Coturnix japonica: one gene and its partner. The protein of the gene in region 2 binds, or shares a complex with, the protein of the main gene of each other region. Links are inferred from orthologs where the notes say so. Each region holds a gene or a part of one and is shown on either strand. Other genes may lie near its edges.

Region 1 (5,605 bases), on a different chromosome or scaffold from region 2:
TCCAAATGTTCAGAAAAGCACAAGAGAGACCTCCCTGAAAAGCAAAGGTGTTGTTAAAATAGGTGCTGTTAAAAGCTTCTTAAACTGTCAACGAAGTATTTACTTAAATTACTTAAACTCAGAGCTGAGAACCACTCTCAAGATGAGCAATTCTCTCCAAAGAGGCTGTATTCTTAAATGCCCTTTGTCTGGGGTTGCTGGTTATATGGGACACTCAACCAGATTTTCCTTTTTAAAGTAAGGACTCATTCCAGACTTTCTTGTTGTATGAACAAAGAAAAATGGAAGACATGAAGTTGAAAGGCTCAAGAAATCAGAATACAAATGAAAAGCATTTAAAATGTATGAAGACAAAACCCAAGACCTGTAAACAAATGGGACTGGCTTCACCTGAACGCTTTTTTCTTCTACTTAGAGAGAATGTTTCTCAATACTTAAAATAAATACTGTTTTATGTATGCAGTGGCATATGCAGCAAGCGGCTGCCACGTTATGAAACTCTGGATTCCAGAGATGTGTATTACATCTCTGCTGTCTGTCACACTCAGAATATCTGGGAAGAGGAGGAGGAAAACAAGCTTATCATTTATCCAATTATTGCTGGTTTTGTGGTCGTGAGGCTTTCTGCAGAGTACAAGAATAACTTGTTTGCAACACCAGTAAAATAAGGATGGAACCTGGAGTGCGTTGTCTCTCTCTCGGAGCCTGCTCACCCATGTCAGACCAAGTGACTAACTGGCTTCACCCTGTGGGAATCAACAACCCCAAGGCTCAGCACACAGTGAGGGCACAGCTTCAGACTTGGGTGCCACAAAAAGCCACACACCTATAGTGCCGTCCCACTGCAAGTGCGTGTCTTGCTACCATAACAAAACGAGAGTGTATTACAGAACAACAACCCCCAGGTGCAGGAAATGGAAAAAAACAAACCCAAACCAATCTAACTATGCTCTCCTTAGCAGAACAAAAACTGAGTCTCCATATATAACTGGAAAACTCACAACTTCTGTTGTTGTTCCTCTGTGCCATGCTTTCCCCTCCTTAACTGCAGCTAATATCACTCTAGTGAATGAACATTAATCTTACTCAAAGCCAGAACCATCACTGCTTTTCAGGCACCTTGAAAAGTATGACCCTGAGCACCTGGCAATGCCGTGCCTCTCTCATGCAGCCTTTTCAATCCTGTAGACAAGAACCGTGTTTTCCTTGACAGAAAGAAGTTTCTTAAAAGCAGACTTACCAGGGAGGCTGAGAACAATCATCATAATCACTCTGTCTCGGTGCTACCAGCTTTCCAGATAGGCTGCCAAGCTGGCGTTTGACTAAGAAAACAGGTTTAGCACAAATCTAGATTCCTCTTCTCAAGCACTAAAATGCCTAAGTAGCACATCGAGTTGACCATTGTTTCTTATCACCAAGCAAACAAACCTCGTCGGCAGGAAAACTGCATTAACAAAGCGACTCCCTGCATGACTGAGATGGGCTCTGGTTGCTACAAATGCCGATCCTCCTGGTCACCCACAAGGTCAAAAAACCTACCCCATAGTTTGGCTTCCACGTCTTGCTTTCACATCATTTGGTTTCTCCACAGGCCGTATTTGTTACCACAGGAGTAACTGTTGGTTTCACAGCGCACAATATTCGTTCATAACAGGCTGTCATTTCCATTCGCTTTTAGCCAGAGTTAAGATGTAAGATGGGTCATTAAAACAAAATACCAAATCACTGATCTGCTATTTGTATGCAATGGGACGTCTCTGTCCACAAACATTCAGTCTTCATAAACCAGACCCCAGCCCCTTGTCCTTTCCTTTCCAATCAGGAGGAAAAACTAATTGGCACCAAAGAGTCTGCTTTTCCCACTGAAATCAGCGAGAACACTTCTGTGCACTTCAAAGGGTACCGAAGGATGTCCAAAGCAAGCGTGTTCATTTTATAGGCTCACTAATGCCAATCTTTTGACCCGCAAGTGGAACACATGAATCACAGCAGAAACAGCCCCACTCCTGGGCTGTCAGAAACCAAACCCACAGTGTTATCTTTGGCCCACTGCACAAAAGGCAGGAAGTCAGGGACCCATTTTCAGCCTGTGCAGGTTGTTCTGCTGGCCCCCAACGCACCGAGCAGGCAGGACTTCAAGTGAAGTGGAAGCGGGCTACCTGAGGGACCGACAGCTTCCTACTGTAGGTTGCCTCAGAGGAAAAAGGAAATAACTCTGGAACAATGCAGACAGGCTTTAAATAACTGTCAGGGAGATGCTGCTTACTGGAAGTTGAAGGTTTATCCCAGGTCTTAACATAGAATGCTTTAAGATTCCATAGCAGACAGCAGAGGGAAGCACACAGCCAGCACAGGGCGATGATGAGAAGCTGTTAAGAGCTTTATTGCTGTGTATCCGGTTAGACCCGCGCATGCGTGTGCGGTCAGACGGCGCCATCATGCCGGAGGGGAAGGGAACGATCCGGGAGGTGCTGCCCAAACAAGGTCCGGCCGGGGGTGGGACGGGGACACGGGCAATGCCTGCAGCCGGCTGATGTGTGCGGTGTGTGTGTGCTCCGCAGGGCAGCTGGCGGCGGAGGACACGGCCGGCATGGTGCTGTGCAAGCCCAAAGTGCTGCCCCTCAAGTCGGTGTCGCTGGAGAAGCTGGAGCAGCTGCAGCGCGCAGCGATGGAGGCGATGGAAGCGTCGCGGCCGCCCGAGGGCTCTGCGGGCTCCCAACCGCGGCCATAAGCGGAGTAACAGGTACGGCAGGGAGCGGGGGGACGGCAGGGAGAGGCGAGCAGCGGGCACGGCCCTGTGTGCTATTAGGAACGGCATGAACGTTGGGTGAGCGAGTGTGGAGCCGGCAGCTGCACTCACACCGTGTGGGTCACACCTTGTCTGTCATCTATTACTGCTCTTGTAACACCGAAGGGCAACCTGATCTATAAAGGTGTATGTTTGGTGGCCCTGCCAGGCAGGGGGTTGGAACTACATGATCCTTGAGGTCCCTTCCAACCCGGGTCACTCTGTGATTCTGTGTTGGTACCAAGTGCTGCACAGTGCTCGTGCTTCAGACACTGGAAGAGCGTAGAAGGCAAAAGACAGGCAGGACAGCTTCACAAAAAAATATTTTTAATATGCTTTTTTTTTTTTTTTTACCAGAATTTTTCACTTTTCCAGTTACATAGAAAAAAAGGAGCGGTTTGGTACGTGCTGGCTGGAACATCTCAAACTGACCAGTGGAACAGGTGAATTTGGCCAATGAGCCAGCGCGCTCTTCTTGGGCTCTTTAAGACAAAGAAACAGCTATTTTCCCTCCCAACGCACAGTATTTCATCAGCAGCAACTGAGGGGATGAGAGCAGCTCAACCTGAGCCCCTGCTAGAAAGCTCTGTACAGATCAGGGATTTATTTCCCATTGAAAACACTGTCCTTGAAAGAAACAGCGGCAGTCAGACGTGGATGCAAACATGGAATGATCACTTATGGCACTTATAAAAGGTAGCTTATCTGAAGGCACCGCCACAACGGAGCGGCCAGTTGGTCTGTTTGGATGCCCAAAGAAAGAACTTTTCTTTCTGAAATCTATAAAACTCTTAAAAAAAAAACAAAAACAAAAAAAAAAAAAACCAACTGATCTGTACCCAAAACACGTGCTCTTAAAAATATAGCAACTGTGCTAAGCAACTCGTAGAAATTTGGTATACAATACATGCATATACGTATATACAGGCACACGGACCAAAAAAGGCCTGTGTGTCTGTATATATCTATATAGATGCCTCTCTTTTGTCTCTTTCCCTTTCAACTTCTAAGGCTTCAGCAGTTGGTTCCGACATTCAGTAGCTTTCTAGTTTCAGCCGGCCTCCATCTCCTTCACTCACAAAGCGCTTCCTGCCCCTGGAAAACAACACAAAGTCTATTATCAGCAAGTCTGTGGTAGCATCACTTCTGTCAGTGGGAAGAATCTTCTCTTGGTCTCGAGTTAAATGTGAGGTGTGTGAGACTGAGCAAAATGATGAATCAGATAAAGAATCCTACACTATGTTATTCTCAAGAAGCTCTTCAGATTTCTCCTGTCCCTTTAACACTGAACATTACCATCTGTGCTTCCAAAAGCTGCTCGCTTGAAACCCTACAAATGACATTTTTCTACCCCAGACTGAAACACAAGCTCAAAACTCCTGTCTGTATATTCCTGAGAGCTGAAGCATCATGAAGCTTTTGTTGCAGCAATGACTTTCGGCCCTACCGAACCCTCAGTGCAAGCTGATGTCGAGATTCAAACTGGAAGATATTGAACAGACAGCATTTCTGGTGCAGAATATCATGGATAGTTTTAACATCGACATTTACACATCAAACTTAAAGGTTGTATTCTGACCAATAATACAGAATACCGAGAAGCTACAGTTAAGCAATAATAAAGCAGAAAACTCTACAATATTGGATGTATCTCACAGTTGCCTTTTTTAGTGTATGTAGAGCTTTTGCCACAGAAATGCCTGGTTGCTTTCTGACAAAAACCATGAGAATTGGTGTCTAATCCCAGAACTCTTATTAATTCAGTTTACAATGTTTAAACTGCTTTAAAACATGTTCTTTTTTCCCCTCCAGGTTTGTCTGCATCATTAAAACTCCTGGATCTTCCATCTCAGCACTGCGCTGATCTCTGCCAAGTGAGCAAAACTGAGAGGAGATGCAGGCCTTCATGTGCTGCAGCAGTCAGACACGCTGCCAGGGATTCCAACAGCAGCTTCCTTCCCTCACATATGTATCAACCCTGTTCTCTTTGTTCCTCCATCTCCCCTGGTCTCTGTACCAACCCGTCACACCCAGGTTATAAGATCCTGCTTCCAAACTGAGCTCCAGCACCTCTCTGTAATAAAACAAGTACCTGGAAGGACAAAGGTCTCTCAGTGGTTTGGAGATGATTCCAGCCTGAAAACATTCCTCCACAAACCGCTCGAGCACAGAATAGGAGTGTGGCACATCCAGGTTAATATCTGGTATTTCACAGTAAACTCGTTCGTAGCCCTGTAGTTTAAGAAAGCAAATAATTATTTGGTTGTTCTAAAATTACAATTTTTTAACCATCTTTTTGCACTCAGATGATGGCTTTTTGAATGCAGTTTCATGTATTCTTTAAGCTGTTTCAATCAACTGAAAGCAAAACACCTGCAAATTATACCTTGCTTTGCCACTAATACCAGCCAGTTCCAAGAGCTGGTGTTGCACAACAACACATCTATATGAACACACTGGCTGAGCATTTTAGCTTCTTAAAGTCAGAAATCCAGGCAGTACAGAATGTATACGACAGCCCAGCTGCCAGTAACACAAGGAAGAAGGATTAATTGCTCTGCCCTGTAGATAGAGGGCAGGCCACAGATCTCAAGGAGAGATGCAATAAATTACAACCAGTACTTAAAAGAAGATAGAAGCTACTTGAAAATCTTACCCAGCATTCTTTCAATGCCATACTTACTCTTTTCATTTGGTCCATAGTAATGACAGAAGACCTCGAGAGAGATTTCAGCAAATCCAGCATCATTTTAAAGGTCTTTTCTCCAGTAGACTCCAAAACCATCACGATTGCCTAAAACAAACCATGCAAGGCTT
Region 2 (4,395 bases):
GGTAGCAGCAGCCTTCCCTCCTGTGCCTTTCCCCAAGGAGGCGCGGTGCTGGAAACTGGATGGCTCCAGCTATCCCTGCCGTGCTCCAGGAGAGGGCACCAGTCCCTTGCTCATGTTTCTTGAGCAAAACGCACAAAGCGTCCCTTAGTCCCCTGTGTGCAGGGATACACGTCTGCGCCTCGGTCTGGCCACGGGCGGCCTCTGCTTTTCCAGGGCTGAGCCTGGGTGAGAAAGCAGGAGCTCCTGGGGCAGGGCCTGCGCCCACCTTGCATTTTACTTTGGCAGACAGTACCTGTGCGTTTTGTTTCTCTGAATGTTCCCCTACGGCACCACACACACATATGGTTTTACTGGGGGAGGGAGCGAGAAGAGGCAGGGGAAATGAATTGCAACGTGTGTTCTGTAGTGTGTCAGCCTGTAAAATACCATCAGTGAGGTGCTGCCGCTGGCCTGACCCACCTGGAGCGCTCTCCTACCAACTGTCAGAGCTGCGGGGAACTGAGGTAATCAGCACAGAGATCACCCCCATATTGAACACATACATCCTGTATTTACTGCAGGTGCAATCCCCTTCTCAACCTGAACTATGCTGTGCTGCTGTATAACCACGGGGACAAGAAGGGGGCCCTCTGCCAGTACCAGGAGATGGAGAGGAAGGTCACTGCACTGAAGGAGAGCAACAGTCTTGATTTTGACCCCGAGGTATGTGCTTAAGAGTTGTCAGCAGGAACTAAATAGCCACATTAAGGCTGGCAACAAACAAGGGGGAAGTTTGACTTCTGAGTCCAATTATTAGGAAGAATTCTGCTTATGAGATTTTCTAAGTAGAGCAGTCACCTGCTGCGAGCTGTGTGCTTCATTTCTGCTCTTTGAAGCCCAGTTCTTCAATCAATATGCAGCAAGACAAGATTCCCTCTTAATTAAGGGAATGAATTAGCGGAGATGTTTCCCTCAAGCACCAAGGCAGTTAGCAGCCCTGCACACAGCTCTTTTTCTCTGTTGACTTCGTTGTTGTCTGAAGTGTCGCTGTCTATGAGAGTCTTCTCTATTTGTTTCTTGAGAAGATGGTGGAGGTTGCCCAGAAGATGGGAACTGCCCTGCAGGTCGGAGAGAGCCAAGTCTGGACGAAACCTGCTAAGGAGTCTAAATCCAAGCAGCGAAGCACACCATCAGGGAAGTCTGCCAACACGCAGCAGCCGTTGGGCTCCAACCAGGCCTTGGGTCAAGCCATGTCCTCAGCTGCCAGCTATGGGAAAAGCATGCAACTTCCACCAGGTACCTCTCTTTTGCATCTCTGTGAAGTGAAACCATGGGAAGGGAGAAGAGAAGAGAAACCTCCCTCACTTTGAGTATGGCATATGTTTAGGGAGGTATTTACTTGCTTACACAGAGCTCCTTTCAGCCTTATAAGGCTTAGGCTTATAGCTGTACATGCTGCAGCTTGCTATGTGGGAGCATCTCCTGAGCCATTGCTTGCAGCCTGACCTCCTCTCACCCCTCAGCTTCCCAGGAGCAAAGCACTAGAGATGCTGCTCAGCACAGCGATGTTCTGTCACTGTATGTTTTGTTTCCTGTGGGTTGGCACAGAAGGAAGGTTGTGTAATCCAGGCCATTTCTGTGGCACCCCTAAGGACCTGCTCCATTTCTCACGACAGCTGAAAAATAAAAGCACACGGGAGTTGAGGCGTTAGCTGAAAGGCCTTGTCATCCACATCAGCAAACCTGGCTCGTAAGATTAGCTGTCAGCTTAAATGTAAGCCTAGAAACAGCTTCAGCGTGGCAGTGTCCTGTTTTGATTTAGTTCTGTAAGTTGCTGTTAACCACGGGGAAGCTCTCTCTGAGACCTCTAAAACTGTGAGCTGAGAACTGCACTGTGGTTTTGGTTACAGTCTGAGTACAAACCAGACGCAGTGGAACTACTTTCCAAAGCTCGAGTTTCTTCTCGCAGCAGCCCAGCTGAACAAGAGACTGCCTTAGCTTCTCTTCAGCAGAGCTCCAAGTGCTGTCATGTCTCTGGCTAGGTAATTTGCAGAAAAGTTGAGTGCTGTTATTAAGTTTCATGCTAGGCAGAAGAAATCAGAAAAAAGAAGAGCTGTGGTCAATTTGTGTCTCTGTGTTGCTTGGGGGTGCTGAAGAAGACACAGAGTGTATGCAGTCATCCTGTAACTTCTCTCCCCAGGTGCCGGAGCATCAGCTTCCCTTGCAAAGCCTCCCTCGCTGCCCCTGGAACCAGAGCCAGGCTCAGAGCTGAGCCCAGAGGAGACCTCAGCGCCAGCAGAGGCCGAGGAGCAGCGGCAGCAGAATCACAAGAGTCGTCAGGCAGCAGAATAGGATGGGCTCGAGGCAGTGGGGGCAGGCGTGGGAAATTCCAGTGCTGCCTGACCTGTGGGGCAGGGGACCTGTCCTCCTGACCCGGAGAGGCTTCACCCCGCTGTCAGTTAGTGTAGATGCGGCATTTCTGTCAGTGATTTTAGCGTGAGGTCTCTGCCTTGTCCCAGGAGTCACGGCAGCAGTCAGAAGAGGACGCTTCATAGTTACTGTGAGTGCAGTCACACCTCACTTCCTCAGTTGGGAGGACGGCGGCTCTGCAGGGAGAGTGCAGCAGCACAGAAGGCAGCCAGCCCTACATTCCAAATTCTTTGCTGAGAAACAGGGTGAATGAGGCTCAGCAGAGCCCCGTGCTCCTGTGATTCGAGTTCTTCCTTTAGAATTAGTATTGCCCAACGTGGGGGAAAGGTTGGTTTGCAGGGAAGAAATGAAGATCTTTTCTGAGAAGCCTTGCCATGCTCAGCTTCAGTGCTGAATTTGTTTTAGTAAAGCAGCAGCCACGTTCTGAAGGACAGAGTTATGGCCTCTTGTGAGAGACTTTGAGGAGATTCAGTTCTGCGAGCTGCAAGAAGGCAAAGCGGCCCCATGGTGAGCAGAGCAAAGAATCTTAATGCCCCTGTGCTACTGAGATGTTTGGGAAGTGTTTGTATCCTCAAAGATTAAAATCTGAGCCTTCCTTTCTCCGCTCCTGTCAGTTTTCTTGCATTTGGATTTATCCAGAGCGTGATGCAGGCCTTCAAAACAACTGTGCTGGGGAACTAAGCTGGGCCCGTCATGCTTTACATAAGGAACCAGTAACTGGGTTAAGTAAGCGTGGTTTTCACCCTCTGCATACAGAGAACTGTGCTGCTGTGGGACTTGGGATTTCACTTTTCCAAGCAGTTCAGCACTTTCTGCCCAAAGAAGCTGTATCTTCAGGAGGGCTCAGCTCATCTGCTAATTAGGCTGATGAGCTTTTAAAAATACAGCTTCTGTTTCATAATCAACACGTGCGGTGGGATGAGGTTTGTGATGGAAAGCTCTCTGCAGCAGCCTGTAAAACAGCATGACCCTGGATAAGTTAACATCCTCCAGCAGTGCTTTCTGGCTGGCTGCTTTTACCCAGAGCAATGGTAGTGTGTTTTTGGGGTGCAGCAGGGACCCGAAGTGCTGCCCTGCCCCCCAGGGGCCACTAAAAGTGGGATCCCTTTGCTTTGTTTTGACTGACAGAACTGCCTGCTCACCTCAAATGTGGCTTTTTGTTTCATCCATCCTCTGCTGGTTGGTTCTCTGTCAGTCCATCCCTGCAGCAGCACTCCTGTAATGCTTTCCTTGTGCTAGGAGCAAAAGGAAACAGAGGTTTTGTGCAGCAGCCGCCAGTTGAAACAAACCAGACAAACTGCAGTGTAATTTAGGTACAATGCGGCCTTTTTATTTGCTTTTAACTTTTTATTCTGCAGATTACTGCAGTGTAAGGGGAGGCCAAGAGTGTGGAGCAGGGGTGGGCTGGGAATGCTCTCTAGCCCCTAAAACCTTTGTTCAGTTTGTATTTTTCTGTACCCATTGCTTGTCATTGTTTGGGCTCACTGTAATGTGTGTCAGGTTTGGGAAGTTCCAGTACAAGGAGCAGCGGGCGGAACAGAGCGGTCACAGCATTGCTGATACAGGCAGCTTTACCCTCCAGATATTTGTTGTAAGCAGGGTAAGGTAACTTCAGGACTGAGGCATTAAGGAACTGCTGTGTGGGAGCAGCCTCATCCCACAGGTGGCTGTGGGAACCAGGACCACTGCTTTCAGAGTATGGCCTCCATGTGAGGCTCTTTGCTCACCCGGCCCCACCTGTACCAACTGTTCCCTTTAGGCTGCTGGGAGCTCTTTCAGGGCAGGTGCTATGCATTACTCCATGGGCTCTGCTGCTTAGGGAGGCACAGTAAAGGTGTTCAAAATGTTCCTTCAAAGGTACAAAGCTTTATGCAGCTGATTAACTCTTCTGTGAAAAAGAACAGTAGCACCATGGTACTCTTTGGATTTGAAGGGAGCAAAAGGGAGCGTCATGTCTGAGGAAGTGTTTTTAAATATGTAATTATG

Evidence for each region. The genes of interacting proteins can lie anywhere in the genome.
Region 1: the proteins of BBS4 (region 2) and BBIP1 are in contact, whole or in part, in a cryo-EM structure (PDB 6VBV), measured with the Bos taurus proteins. The link is inferred for Coturnix japonica from reciprocal best matches to the Homo sapiens genes BBS4 and BBIP1. Residues at the interface, in NP_001069424.1 of Bos taurus: Leu210, Leu213, Tyr236, Leu240, Ala241, Ser244, Gln247, Thr248, Ser269, Pro271, Asn274, Asn275, Met278, Phe281, Gly282, Lys284, Tyr298, Leu299, Pro301, Leu302, Asp303, Trp304, Lys305, Ile306, Tyr308, Asn309, Leu312, Leu315, Thr316, Gln318; in XP_003587939.1 of Bos taurus: Met7, Phe8, Arg9, Glu10, Val11, Leu12, Pro13, Lys14, Gln15, Gly16, Gln17, Leu18, Tyr19, Val20, Glu21, Asp22, Leu28, Lys30, Pro31.

Annotation. Positions count from the first base shown.
Region 1 is NC_029521.1:23,096,199-23,101,803, reverse strand, and holds BBIP1 (BBSome-interacting protein 1), read left to right. Parts: upstream 1-2,384; 5' UTR 2,385-2,411; coding exon 2,412-2,484; intron 2,485-2,561; coding exon 2,562-2,731; 3' UTR 2,732-2,743; intron 2,744-3,124; exon of another isoform or gene 3,125-3,822; coding exon of another isoform or gene 3,823-3,883; exon of another isoform or gene 3,884-3,979; intron 3,980-4,144; exon of another isoform or gene 4,145-4,354; intron 4,355-4,600; 3' UTR 4,601-4,880; coding exon of another isoform or gene 4,881-5,020; 3' UTR 5,021-5,081; downstream 5,082-5,605. Other genes in the region: PDCD4 (programmed cell death protein 4), read right to left, coding at 3,823-3,883, 4,881-5,020, 5,472-5,582.
Region 2 is NC_029525.1:1,094,992-1,099,386, forward strand, and holds the end of BBS4 (Bardet-Biedl syndrome 4 protein), read left to right. Parts: intron 1-560; coding exon 561-702; intron 703-1,064; coding exon 1,065-1,275; intron 1,276-2,179; coding exon 2,180-2,331; 3' UTR 2,332-3,019; downstream 3,020-4,395.